Nothobranchius furzeri: one gene and its partners. The protein of the gene in region 1 interacts with the protein of each later gene in a biochemical or structural test. Links are inferred from orthologs where the notes say so. Each region holds a gene or a part of one and is shown in the gene's direction. Other genes may lie near its edges.

What was found.
Region 2: of the proteins of gsk3ba (region 1) and eif2b5, one has a biochemical effect on the other in vitro, tested with the Homo sapiens proteins (2 studies listed by BioGRID and IntAct). The link is inferred for Nothobranchius furzeri from reciprocal best matches to the Homo sapiens genes GSK3B and EIF2B5.
Region 3: of the proteins of gsk3ba (region 1) and rapamycin-insensitive companion of mTOR, one has a biochemical effect on the other in vitro, tested with the Homo sapiens proteins (2 studies listed by BioGRID). The link is inferred for Nothobranchius furzeri from reciprocal best matches to the Homo sapiens genes GSK3B and RICTOR.

Annotation. Positions count from the first base shown.
Region 1 is NC_091754.1:24,487,392-24,490,764, forward strand, and holds the end of gsk3ba (glycogen synthase kinase-3 beta), read left to right. Parts: intron 1-36; coding exon 37-223; intron 224-389; coding exon 390-488; intron 489-803; coding exon 804-868; 3' UTR 869-2,788; downstream 2,789-3,373. UniProt on the Homo sapiens protein: Constitutively active protein kinase that acts as a negative regulator in the hormonal control of glucose homeostasis, Wnt signaling and regulation of transcription factors and microtubules, by phosphorylating and inactivating glycogen synthase (GYS1 or GYS2), EIF2B, CTNNB1/beta-catenin, APC, AXIN1, DPYSL2/CRMP2, JUN, NFATC1/NFATC, MAPT/TAU and MACF1.
Region 2 is NC_091751.1:63,546,805-63,550,226, forward strand, and holds part of eif2b5 (translation initiation factor eIF2B subunit epsilon), read left to right. Parts: intron 1-60; coding exon 61-151; intron 152-227; coding exon 228-351; intron 352-423; coding exon 424-549; intron 550-629; coding exon 630-740; intron 741-3,422. UniProt on the Homo sapiens protein: Acts as a component of the translation initiation factor 2B (eIF2B) complex, which catalyzes the exchange of GDP for GTP on eukaryotic initiation factor 2 (eIF2) gamma subunit.
Region 3 is NC_091757.1:36,636,554-36,640,208, forward strand, and holds part of rapamycin-insensitive companion of mTOR, read left to right. Parts: intron 1-2,003; coding exon 2,004-2,068; intron 2,069-2,230; coding exon 2,231-2,362; intron 2,363-2,448; coding exon 2,449-2,512; intron 2,513-3,451; coding exon 3,452-3,578; intron 3,579-3,655. UniProt on the Homo sapiens protein: Component of the mechanistic target of rapamycin complex 2 (mTORC2), which transduces signals from growth factors to pathways involved in proliferation, cytoskeletal organization, lipogenesis and anabolic output.

The DNA of each region.
Region 1 (3,373 bases):
CATCTTGTTGATTTGTGTCTGTAATTTGTCGTTCAGGTCTTCCGGCCTCGCACACCTCCAGAGGCCATCGCCTTGTGCTCTCGCCTGCTAGAGTACACGCCCACAGCGCGCCTCACCCCTCTAGAGGCTTGTGCTCACTCCTTCTTTGACGAGCTGCGTGACCCCAATGTCAAGCTTCCCAACGGCAGAGAGAAACCCTCGCTGTTTAACTTCACCACCCAGGGTACGCGCCACAAACACGAACAGTAACAGCTGAAATCCTCTGTATTTTCTTTAGTTTGTGCTTCTTTACATTTTGCTTTCAGAATGTCTTGTTGCCATCTGGGAGTTTATCTCCAGGGTGGCTTTGTAACAACATGACCTGATAACTTATGTTCATTATCTTTCAGAGCTATCCAGTAATGCCTCTTTGGCCTCCATACTCATCCCAGCCCACGCCCGCAGCCAGGCCGCCGCCTCCACTCCAACCAACGCGTCTGCCACCACAGGTACCTGCAGAGCTTTCTTCTTCAAAACACTATTTTTTTTATAATTCAAGAGGGCAGAACTTCTGTAATCACCACCTTGAAGGAAACATTTATGGCATCAACCCTCAACAATGACTATTCTATTCTAAACAGATTTAAATGGTACGTTATTGAAACTCTTTAAACAGTTCATTGCATGTTTGAATACATTTTTTACAAGAAATTTGATTTAAATAATAAATGTGAAACTCAGAATCTCTTCATTATCAGCAGATGGTTTTGAGTTTTCTGGTTTCCATTAAAAGCAGCATCACTGACTTTGCTTTCTGCTCACAGACGGCAGCAGCACAGAGCGAGGTCCCAGCACCACCACCGCCTCCGCCTCCAACTCCATCTCCTGAGCCCACAGAACTCCCGGCCCCGCCTCAGCCCACAGCCCCAGCCCACAGCCTCTTCATTGCCCTGACCAGGGGGTGAGCTCCGATCGGCTCTGCTCCTGCCTCGCTCTCCTCCCTGGCAGCGGCGCAGCTATGCTGAGGCAGCCTGGGTTCAACAGCTAAACAATCCCCCTCCCACCCCCAAAAACACAGGCATCCCTGAGCCCTCCCCTGACCCATAAGCAGGTGTTCGAACTCCTCCCCTCCTCCGTTAAAGGCACCTGAAAGCGAAGCGTGGGCCGCCTGTGTTGCTGACTGTACTAAACTTCACACGTATACACCACGCTAGACATCCACAAGAGGACAATCTGTAGAAAAGTCCTTCGCTGTCCCCGTCAACCTGTCCTCTCCTTATATTGTACCGTTTCCCTGCATCCCCCCACTTCTCCCCCGTCTCCCTCGGTTCCTTCTGTAGTGCATGACCTGAGTACAATAAGGGGAGGGGGCACTGTCATGTCCTCTCACCACTACTTCTGCAAACAAGGCATGAGGCTCCCGCACGCGTAAACACACACTCAAGACACACACACGGATGCATGATGATCCTATGTGGAAGGGAGCAGTCCCGCCTCGAGGAGGGAGGAGGAGGGGTAGAATTATTTGGACATTTGTTTTCTTTTTGCCCGGGGTTGTTTTTAGGCATTAAGCTCTTTTATTCTGTTTTTATTTTATTTTTATTTTGTACTCCTGGGCAGATGTTATTTGTTTTGGAGGGTGTGTGATGGGCGTGATGTGTATCTGGTCCTGTGTGCTTGTATGATTTATACATACAGTACAAATACGCATACACACTTTATATAATACTTTTCTTTATGTATAAAAAGTATATATAGATTCTATGTATATTATCTACAGTGGTTCAGAAATCATTTACGGTGAGCTCATATCTGGTGGAGCCGTGGCAATATTTGCTGCCGCCCAAAGACGACAGACTTCACTAAGTTTTTATTTTGTATCTGGAGTTGCTGGCCTCCGGCAGCCACCTCCCTCTCCTCCTGTGTAGATGGATGTAGGGTGCTGCTCTGCTCCTTTTGCCTTCGACTCCGTCTAATATCGCGTCTGTGACGATGCAACGTGTCCCCCAGTCCACCTCCTCCTGGAGACTTCCAGATGATCGCTTTTTTCTTGTCTGGGCTGTTTTCGAAGCCCCGGCGGCGGTCCTCGGTGCACCGCAGGCTGTCTCATGTCGACGGAAATGTTAGCCACGTGTTTGTTTTCCCCTCCTTTCCACCTACAGCACATAGAGCCGCTCACTACAGGCTGACGAATTATCTTCTCTACATTTAAAAAAGAAACAAAGAAACTGAATTTGTACATACAGCCTAAATGCTCCTCACCAAAACTCGTACGTCTTGTATGTTAATTTTTTTATGTTGCGTTGAGTCGTTTTCCATGTTGTGTTCACCGTATGTATATATACGCAGACCCATGTACTGTTTATGAGCAAAAACAAAGACGGGGAAGAAAGAAAGCAGGAAAACATTAAAATCAGGGCAAAACTGATGTTTATGGGTGTGTTAGAAGATGATCAGCTTTATCCAGCCATATGTTCAATCTTTACCTGTACAGTTCATTAGAAGACCGCTGTATTATTGTAACAAGGACTAGTCATGTATAGTGTAACTATAGTTTGGAGTGCCTTTGCTTTCATACACCTTCGCCTTGTCTCCACCCTCACCCAATGTTGTGACTCTCCCTTTGGTGCTGTTGAATGTCGTGCTACTCACCCCCCACCCCAATCACACAGCAGTTGTATTATAGGCTTTAGAGGTAAGGATGGCTCTCCTTACTGCAGATTCACTAGACACCTGTTGATTTTGGTAGATGTTTAATCCCCCACACCCACATGGACTGAGGTGGGTGGTGGCAGGAGGGGGGGGGGGGGGGGGGGCTGGTATACTGTACATATAATACAGTAGAGACTTTGTGTCACTGACAGTGTTGGTTCTGTTACCAAAGCCAAACGTTGATGTAGTTGTGCCGAGCCATCCTCAGAGGCAATAACTCCTTTTTCTCTGTTCTCTTGCTTGCGCCCCCCCCCCCCCTCCTAATTCTGTTGGTGGGAGGGGGTTCAGTAGCACCGAAGGGGTTGAGTCAAATAGCCCCCACCCCCCCATCTCCTGCTTGCTGTAATTTAGCATTCATGAGCGTATTGCTACCCTCCACAAGGTTTGACCACTTTAACCTAACTTTTAACACCCAGTTCATCAAAATACTAGAACAGTTACCCAAAAAAAAAAAAACAAAGCAAGTATAAATACTAGTATCATATACTAGCTTACAGATGTGCTAACTGGGCCTACCTGGGATTAAAGAGAAGAAAAAAAATATTAAAAAAAAACTATTACAAAAACATCCTGTATAACAGTACTACTTGAATGCCTTTGTTTGTGACTGAACTTTTTATTTAGTTTTCATTTGTTTTTGTTCTGTGAAGGTATGCTAAATGTGCGCCTCTGTAAATACTCC
Region 2 (3,422 bases), on another chromosome or scaffold:
TTCAGTGAGCTCATAGAGGCCATTTAAAACTCAAAGCGCCTGAATGTTGCTGTTGTGCAGTCTTCCAGATGGAGGTGATCGGGACCTTGCAGAGAGGCTTGGAGGAGAACATCAGCTGTGACAATCTTGTGCTTGAAATAAATTCTCTGAAGTAGGTCAAGTTTCTGAACTCTGTTTTATGCTTTTTTTGCGTTTTTTGTTTGTTTGAACTCCTTGTTTTTGTCCAGGTATGCCTACAACATCACTCTGAAGGAGGTGATGCAGATTTTAACCCGGGTGGTGCTGGAGTACCCGTTCCAGCAGCAGGATGCACATCTGAGCGCCTCACAATATGTTTCTCTGCTCCTGCCGGTGACTTAATGAAGCAAACATGCTTACTTTTTTTTTGTTCAGACATAAGTAACTTTCTTTTTCTGCTCTTAGTTATTGAAGAAGTGGGCTCCAGTCTTTAAGAACTATGTGAAGAGAGCACAGGACCACCTGGACTGCCTGGGTGCCTTTGAGGAACATTTCCTGGAGCAGGAGGGCCACTGGGCTGCGATGGTGAAGGTCTGGATCAGTCAGGGAAGTTTCTCGTGACCGTGTGGATGTTTCCATGTGTTCATTTACTTTTTCTGTTTACACTCCAGGTTTTAATGAACATGTACCAGCTGGAGATCCTGGAGGAGGAGATGATTCTGCGGTGGTTCTCTCAGGGAGCCACAACAGATCAAAGCAGGCAGCTCCGCAAGAACCAGGGGGTAGGTTCTGTCTGAGAGAACGCACGGTTCTGTTGGAGGATTCAAAACGGGACAGTCAGCTGATGAGGACGCGACTTGTCTTGTGGCAGAAAAGAATAGAATAAACATTATTAACCCTTTATAGGGCGCTCATTGAAGTAGTTAACAATTAAGAATTTCAAATCCAGGGTGTTATTGTTAGGGTTGGGCATCGAGCGTCGATTGGAGCCGGGACTAACCGTCAGTTTTCCCTGGAATCATTCAGAGTTTTTTATTTCAATTCCTAGGTTTGATTCCCAGGTTGCCGGCCAGAAGAAGAATCTGTGGGGGAAACCGGAGTACCCGGAGGAAACCCACGCATGCATGGGGAGAACACGCAACTCCATGCAGAAAGGCCGCAGCCGAGTTTCGAACCTGCGACCTTTGTGCTGCGAGGCAACAGTGCTAACCACTGCGTCACCATGCAGCCACTGCACTGTGCAGTAGCCTGCAGAGACCCTGGGAGCAGCGTCGACCCCCCCAACTCCCTCACACTTTAAAATGTAAACAAACGCGTCTGCTGAACTTTTAACGTCAGAAAGTAAAGTTTAATTCCTGCAGCAAAAAATACGGTGCAGAGGAAGCTCGGTAGAATGCTTCAACACGGTGGATTCCCCACGAGTTTTAATGAACAAACTCCGTGAGGTGAGTTTGTCTCACTGCAGAAATAAAAACACACAGCATCAGCAGTCAAACGCAGCCACTCACCAACACTCGTCTGTGTGAGCGTGACCGTCGGAAGGCTGAGCAACAACCTGTAAAATAGTTAAAGTCATGATAGAGCAGCTTTCTCTGTGGTGGACCACACTGGGTTCTGGTCATTAGGAGCTGATAGGGATAATAAATATAATAATAATAATAATATTCACATAAAAATCTCACAACTTGCAAAGTTGTGAGAAATTTCTCTTTTTTTTAACTAGTCTGTTGAACGTTTTAATGTTTTAAGTCTTAGTTTCTTACTGACAGCAGCTACATTTACGTTTCAGTTTCCCTTTAACCGAATCGCTGCTGCAGCATGTAGGCGTCATCCTAGACATGATCATCGTGAGAGTTTTAGGTGAAAACAGCAAGACTTTCCTGGTCATGTTGAAGACATTCACGCCTGGAACACACTGGACGTGGAAGCACGACGACGCGCAGCGAAGCGCCGTCGAACGACGAGCGCTTCTAATCGGCGACCTTGTTAACCCACGCCCTCTGTCACATCAGCCTGCCACGAAGGCTCGCGCCGCGCAGCGATCGTTTCGGCCGTCGATCGTTGGAGCTCAAATTTTTTCGTGAGCCGCGTCAATTCTGGCAGGAAGTCAAACCGAAACAGAAGAGGCAGGCCGGCAAATTTAACAAAAAGAAAAAAAGTCAAAATTAAACATTGATAAATGTGATCATTTTTGTGTATCTAAACAGACTAGAGGGATGAAAATGAACAAACACGCACACACACACACTCCTGAACAAACACGCACACACACACACTCCTGTGGAGAAACACAGCGTTTCCATCATTTTAAATGCAATTTTTACAGCAAAAGATGGATTTAATAAATGCGAATACAAACAAATACACAGCAGCAGGTTCAGCGCAGTTTTCGATATCAACAAGCGGGGCAAACTGGTTACACACACACGCACACACGTCAGGACATCAGCAGGACATAAGTGTGGAGTCATTTATGAAATGCCATGCAATTTCTGCAATAAAATATACATCGGAGAAACCGGACGCCAACTCGACACAAGAACAGTAGAACATGGAAAGGAGTGAAAAAGTAACAAGTTGAAGACACACAAGAGCAGCAAGACAAGAAGCAGAAAGCTCAATACAGAAGTCAGCCGCAACAGATCACTGCACAAGAGAAAACCATGTAATGGACTGGAACAACACAAGGATCATAAACACCGAACAACAGAAATACAAAAGATGGATGAAGGAAGCTATAGAGATATGGAGACGTGGGCACGGAACCATGAACAGAGACGAGGGGGTCTACACACTAGATCAGTGGACAACATCATACCCACCAGAACAGTGAGATGCTTCGCTAATAACAAACCTTGGCTCACCAGTAAACTGAAGAATCTAAATGAGAAAAAAAGAGTCTTCAAGGAGGGAGACAGGGAATTATTGAGGAGTATACAGAAACAACTGAAGATCAAGATCAGAGACAGCAAGGAGGCATCCAGGAAGAAGCTGGAGAACAAACTACAGAGGAACAATATCAGAGATGTCTGGTCAGGGATGAAGAAGATCACAGGCTTCAAGCAGAGGAAGGATTGCACAGATGGCAGCCTGGACACAGCCAATGATCTGAACAAGTTCTTCAATAGGTTCAGTTCAGGAACAAACCCAGCATCCTCCTCGCCTGTCCCCAGTCAATCAGACATCCCATCCTCCTCTGATCCAACATTTTCCTGTCACACGCCAGCTCTTTTGTCCTCTAACGCAGTCATGGACTCTTCTGGTTCTATAAATCTGTATTCAACCAAGTCAGGAGATGCTGCTGCCCCATTTACCTCCCCCTCCCACCTATCTGTCTCTAGAAGTCAGGTGAAGAGACAGCTGGAGAGACTGAACAGGAACAAGGCTGCAGGTCCAGATGGGGTCAGCCCCAGGGTACTGAAGGCCTGTGCAGAGCAGCTCTGTGGGATTCTGCAGCACCTCTT
Region 3 (3,655 bases), on another chromosome or scaffold:
GAGGAAGAACAACGACAAAGGATGTTTATTAGGAAACATTGAGTGGGGAGAATTATTGTTTTAATTTAATTTATCACTCGGTGACTACAAGGGCACAGAAATGGATGATTTCCTCATGAGAAATCATTCAGTTACTTTTGAATAAGCGGATGAAAAAACTAGCAGTTATTCCACCTCTTAGGCTGCGGTTAAACGCTGTGGTGCAGATGATCCCCAAACAGTTCGAATATTGTCATCTAGGGACTGTTCTGCACAGACATGGAGAAGCATGTGGAGGAATCTAGAGCTGACTTCTTCACTACTGTCCTCACTCTGGCATTGCTGGCTGGAGGGACGAGGAAACGCCATGATCTAATGTAGATCAAGATCAGCACTGTGGCTTTAAAAACAAATACACTCATGTCATGTTTATAATAAAATTATTCTTAAGATAGCAGTGTTCATCAGCTCAATAATGCTTCAACCAAGCTGTATAATGAGGCCTTCTGTTCTGTCCCACCCGACACACAGCGATGCCCCTCCAGATAATGGTGGAAAAATTTACCATAAAACAAGAGGGGAAATCACCGATTTGGTTATTTTCAGATTATTTTTCCTACTGCCTCTGCAGATTAAAGGCATTATTTTAAATAAAAAGCTGTTGCCGTGCTCTGATAACATTTCCAAGGGTCTTTTCTTCTTTGCCATCCTGGCATTTTAAAAGGGAAACACTGGGTGAAGGAGGAGGAAACTGCTAGTTTCTTGTATTCTGGGCACTGTTGTCTTTTTGCCCAGCATCACATTGTTGAGAAATGTGAAAGTAATTTAAACTAGTGGGTAAAGCACAGACCCGGGACACTGGATCCTGTTGCTGCTTAGATATGTGCGGATCTGTCAGCTCACTGCTTTTCATGGCTTCTGACTGGCTGCTCTGGATGAATTGTAAACAATTGTTTGTGGCTCTGCAGACGGTGTGTGCTGTAACTGGCACTGTGGTGGACCAGAGGCTTAGTGTGAGGCCAGTTAGTGTGTCTGCAGTCTGTCCACCTAATGCTCTTGTTCACAACTGACTTGAAGCTGTCAACGAGTGTGTGTGTGTGTGTGTGTGTGTGTGTGTGTGTGTGTGTGTGTGTGTGTGTGTGTGTAAACATCTGTCGAAGTTTTATCACTTTGATTCCTTATAAGGGTTTGAGGACAGCAAATCCCTCATGGAGAGCATCATGTGCCCCCCTCTCCCCTTCCTCATCCTGTTTAAGCTCTGATGTCACCGCTAGTTTAATACTACCCCATAATCGCCCAGACCTTACTCACCACCTGTCCCATTCCACTTTCTGCTGCTACCTCCTGCACAGCTATGCGCTACACATGCTCTTGAGAGACAATTAAACAAAATAAAGATGAATTCCCCACTAGGCTTTTTGATCTGGTGTGTTGCCTGGAGATCCCAATGAGAAAGGGTAGATGCTCTGAAAAACGACCAGCAGTGTGTTTTAGCCAATCCTCTCGGTTGTGTGTGAGTTCTTGTTAATGATGGAGGATCTGTTGCTAAAGGGTGGCAGCAGCAGGTCTGGTGGAGTGTTAAAAACAGGAGAAAATGATGAAAAAAGTTTTCATGTGTCCCAAAAGAAATGTGAGCGCAGACCAGCAAATGTTGGAGGTGACCCATAACTCCTGAACCTGTCGTTCATGAGGTAGCATCACCCAGTTCCCCCACTTTCTCTTACCTGCTCCAAACAAATGGGCACATGCAGGCGAACGGTTTATTTCTGTGATTTTTATGTTTTTTTCCTGTTTTTAGGGGAAAGTCGGATAAATAAAGTTCTTAACTAATCGTAACAAACAGAAAAGAAGACTTTCACTGGCAGACATGAACAAATGATCTGAACACTCACAAAATAATTTCTCATTATTTGTTCATGTTTAAATAAAAGGAGCGCTTTTGATGTGAAACAAGTGAAAACATTTTTGTTGATTTTTCAATCGTCTGAGAAACAAATAATTCACCTTGTATCTTTTTATTGCAGCTGCTTTGCAGCATTGGACATCGAGAGGAAAACTTTGGGTTTACGTATGAAGAAATTATCATTTGGTGAGTTTTATTCTTTTTTCAAGTTTATTAGGTAAATTTTTTTTTCTGTGAAAAGTAAAGCTAGATCCATTAAAACAATAATTACATCGATTCTTTAAAGCGAAAAAAATATATAAAAATCATTAAGAGCATAAATTGATTTTATAACTTGTTCTTCTTTAGTCTGCGGCTAGCTCTACTAAATGAGGCCAAGGAAGTGCGTGCTGCAGGTTTGCGTGCGCTCCGCTACCTTATTAGAGACACCATTGTGTTGCAGAAGGTCCTCAGACTGCAGGTGGATTATTTGATAGCCAGGTAAGATTCTGCTTCAGTCAGGGTGGAAAATCACTTGTGGAGACCTGATGTGTTTTGTTTCTTACTCTGTTTTGTGCCTGTTTCAGATGCATTGACATCCAGCAAAGTAATGAGGGGGAGAGAACTCAGGCTTTGCGACTGGTTCGAAAGGTAAGATAAATACGCTTATCTGAGTTTTTCTAACTGTTTATAGAGTTTATGTCATGTCCACAGAGGAGTTTCGGGTTGCTGCTGACTTGTGTCAGCACAGCGGCACCAGAACGGTCCTTTGGGTCAGCAGCAGTGTCAGGCTGGTTTGTAGAGTCTGCAGGCCAAGTTATTTATAGCTCTTCTGTAGTTTACTGTCAACAGCGCACACATGCACAAAGTGCACTGTGGTTTTGAGCGTGGACTATTGACCACACTGGCTGTACCATGACCTGTGTTACTGTTGTAACATAACGTCATGATGTTAAAATAGATTTATGTTCATACTAGTCTACACAAAGTTTTCATAAGCTAATACTGAGTTTGTTTAATTATACAAACAAAACATTTGATCAAGTTTTCAGACCCTTTTGTCTGTTGACATCTGCAGCTGAGCTCAGGTGCATTCTGATTAATTTTCCAGCGCTCGCTCCGATTGTAGTTTGCTACGATTCAGAAAACAAACCTGCACACGTCTCTCCTGTGTGGAGTGTTTCACCAGACACAACAAACAAATGAGTCTGCAAATGCAACCAGACTAGAGAGAAGCATCAGGGACTCGAAAATGGTGGCACTGCTTGAAAATATAAACCACTAGAAAGTATAAACGTGGGAGTGTTGGTCGGGTTTGAGTGGCTTTGTGTTTACAGATACAGAAACTGGCAAAACTTTAAGGGATGGTGTTGTTTATGATACTTGATGGGACTTTATTTTCCAAGGTGACCATGATACAGCTGTCTACATACAGTCTCACAGTTGTACTTATCATGTACCAACAAACGCAGTCTGGTTCCTCTCACCTGATCGTAGATTGTAATCTAAGATTGGCACAATACAAACAATAACAATCTGGTGTTGAGCAGACCTGTTTAATGTTTTTTTTCCCTTTCTCTCCTCCTGTAGATAATAACCGTCAATGCAACGCTGTTCCCCACCTCTGTTGCAAATTCTCTCATTGCTGTGGGGACGGATGGACAGCAGGAGAGGGACCGCATGGTTCGAGCGGCAATCGCCATCGTATGTGAACTAGGCGAGTACCTGGCATTTAGATAGGGACACACATCAGACATGGGAAGCATCATTAACTCTGTACACACAGGCGCAGGA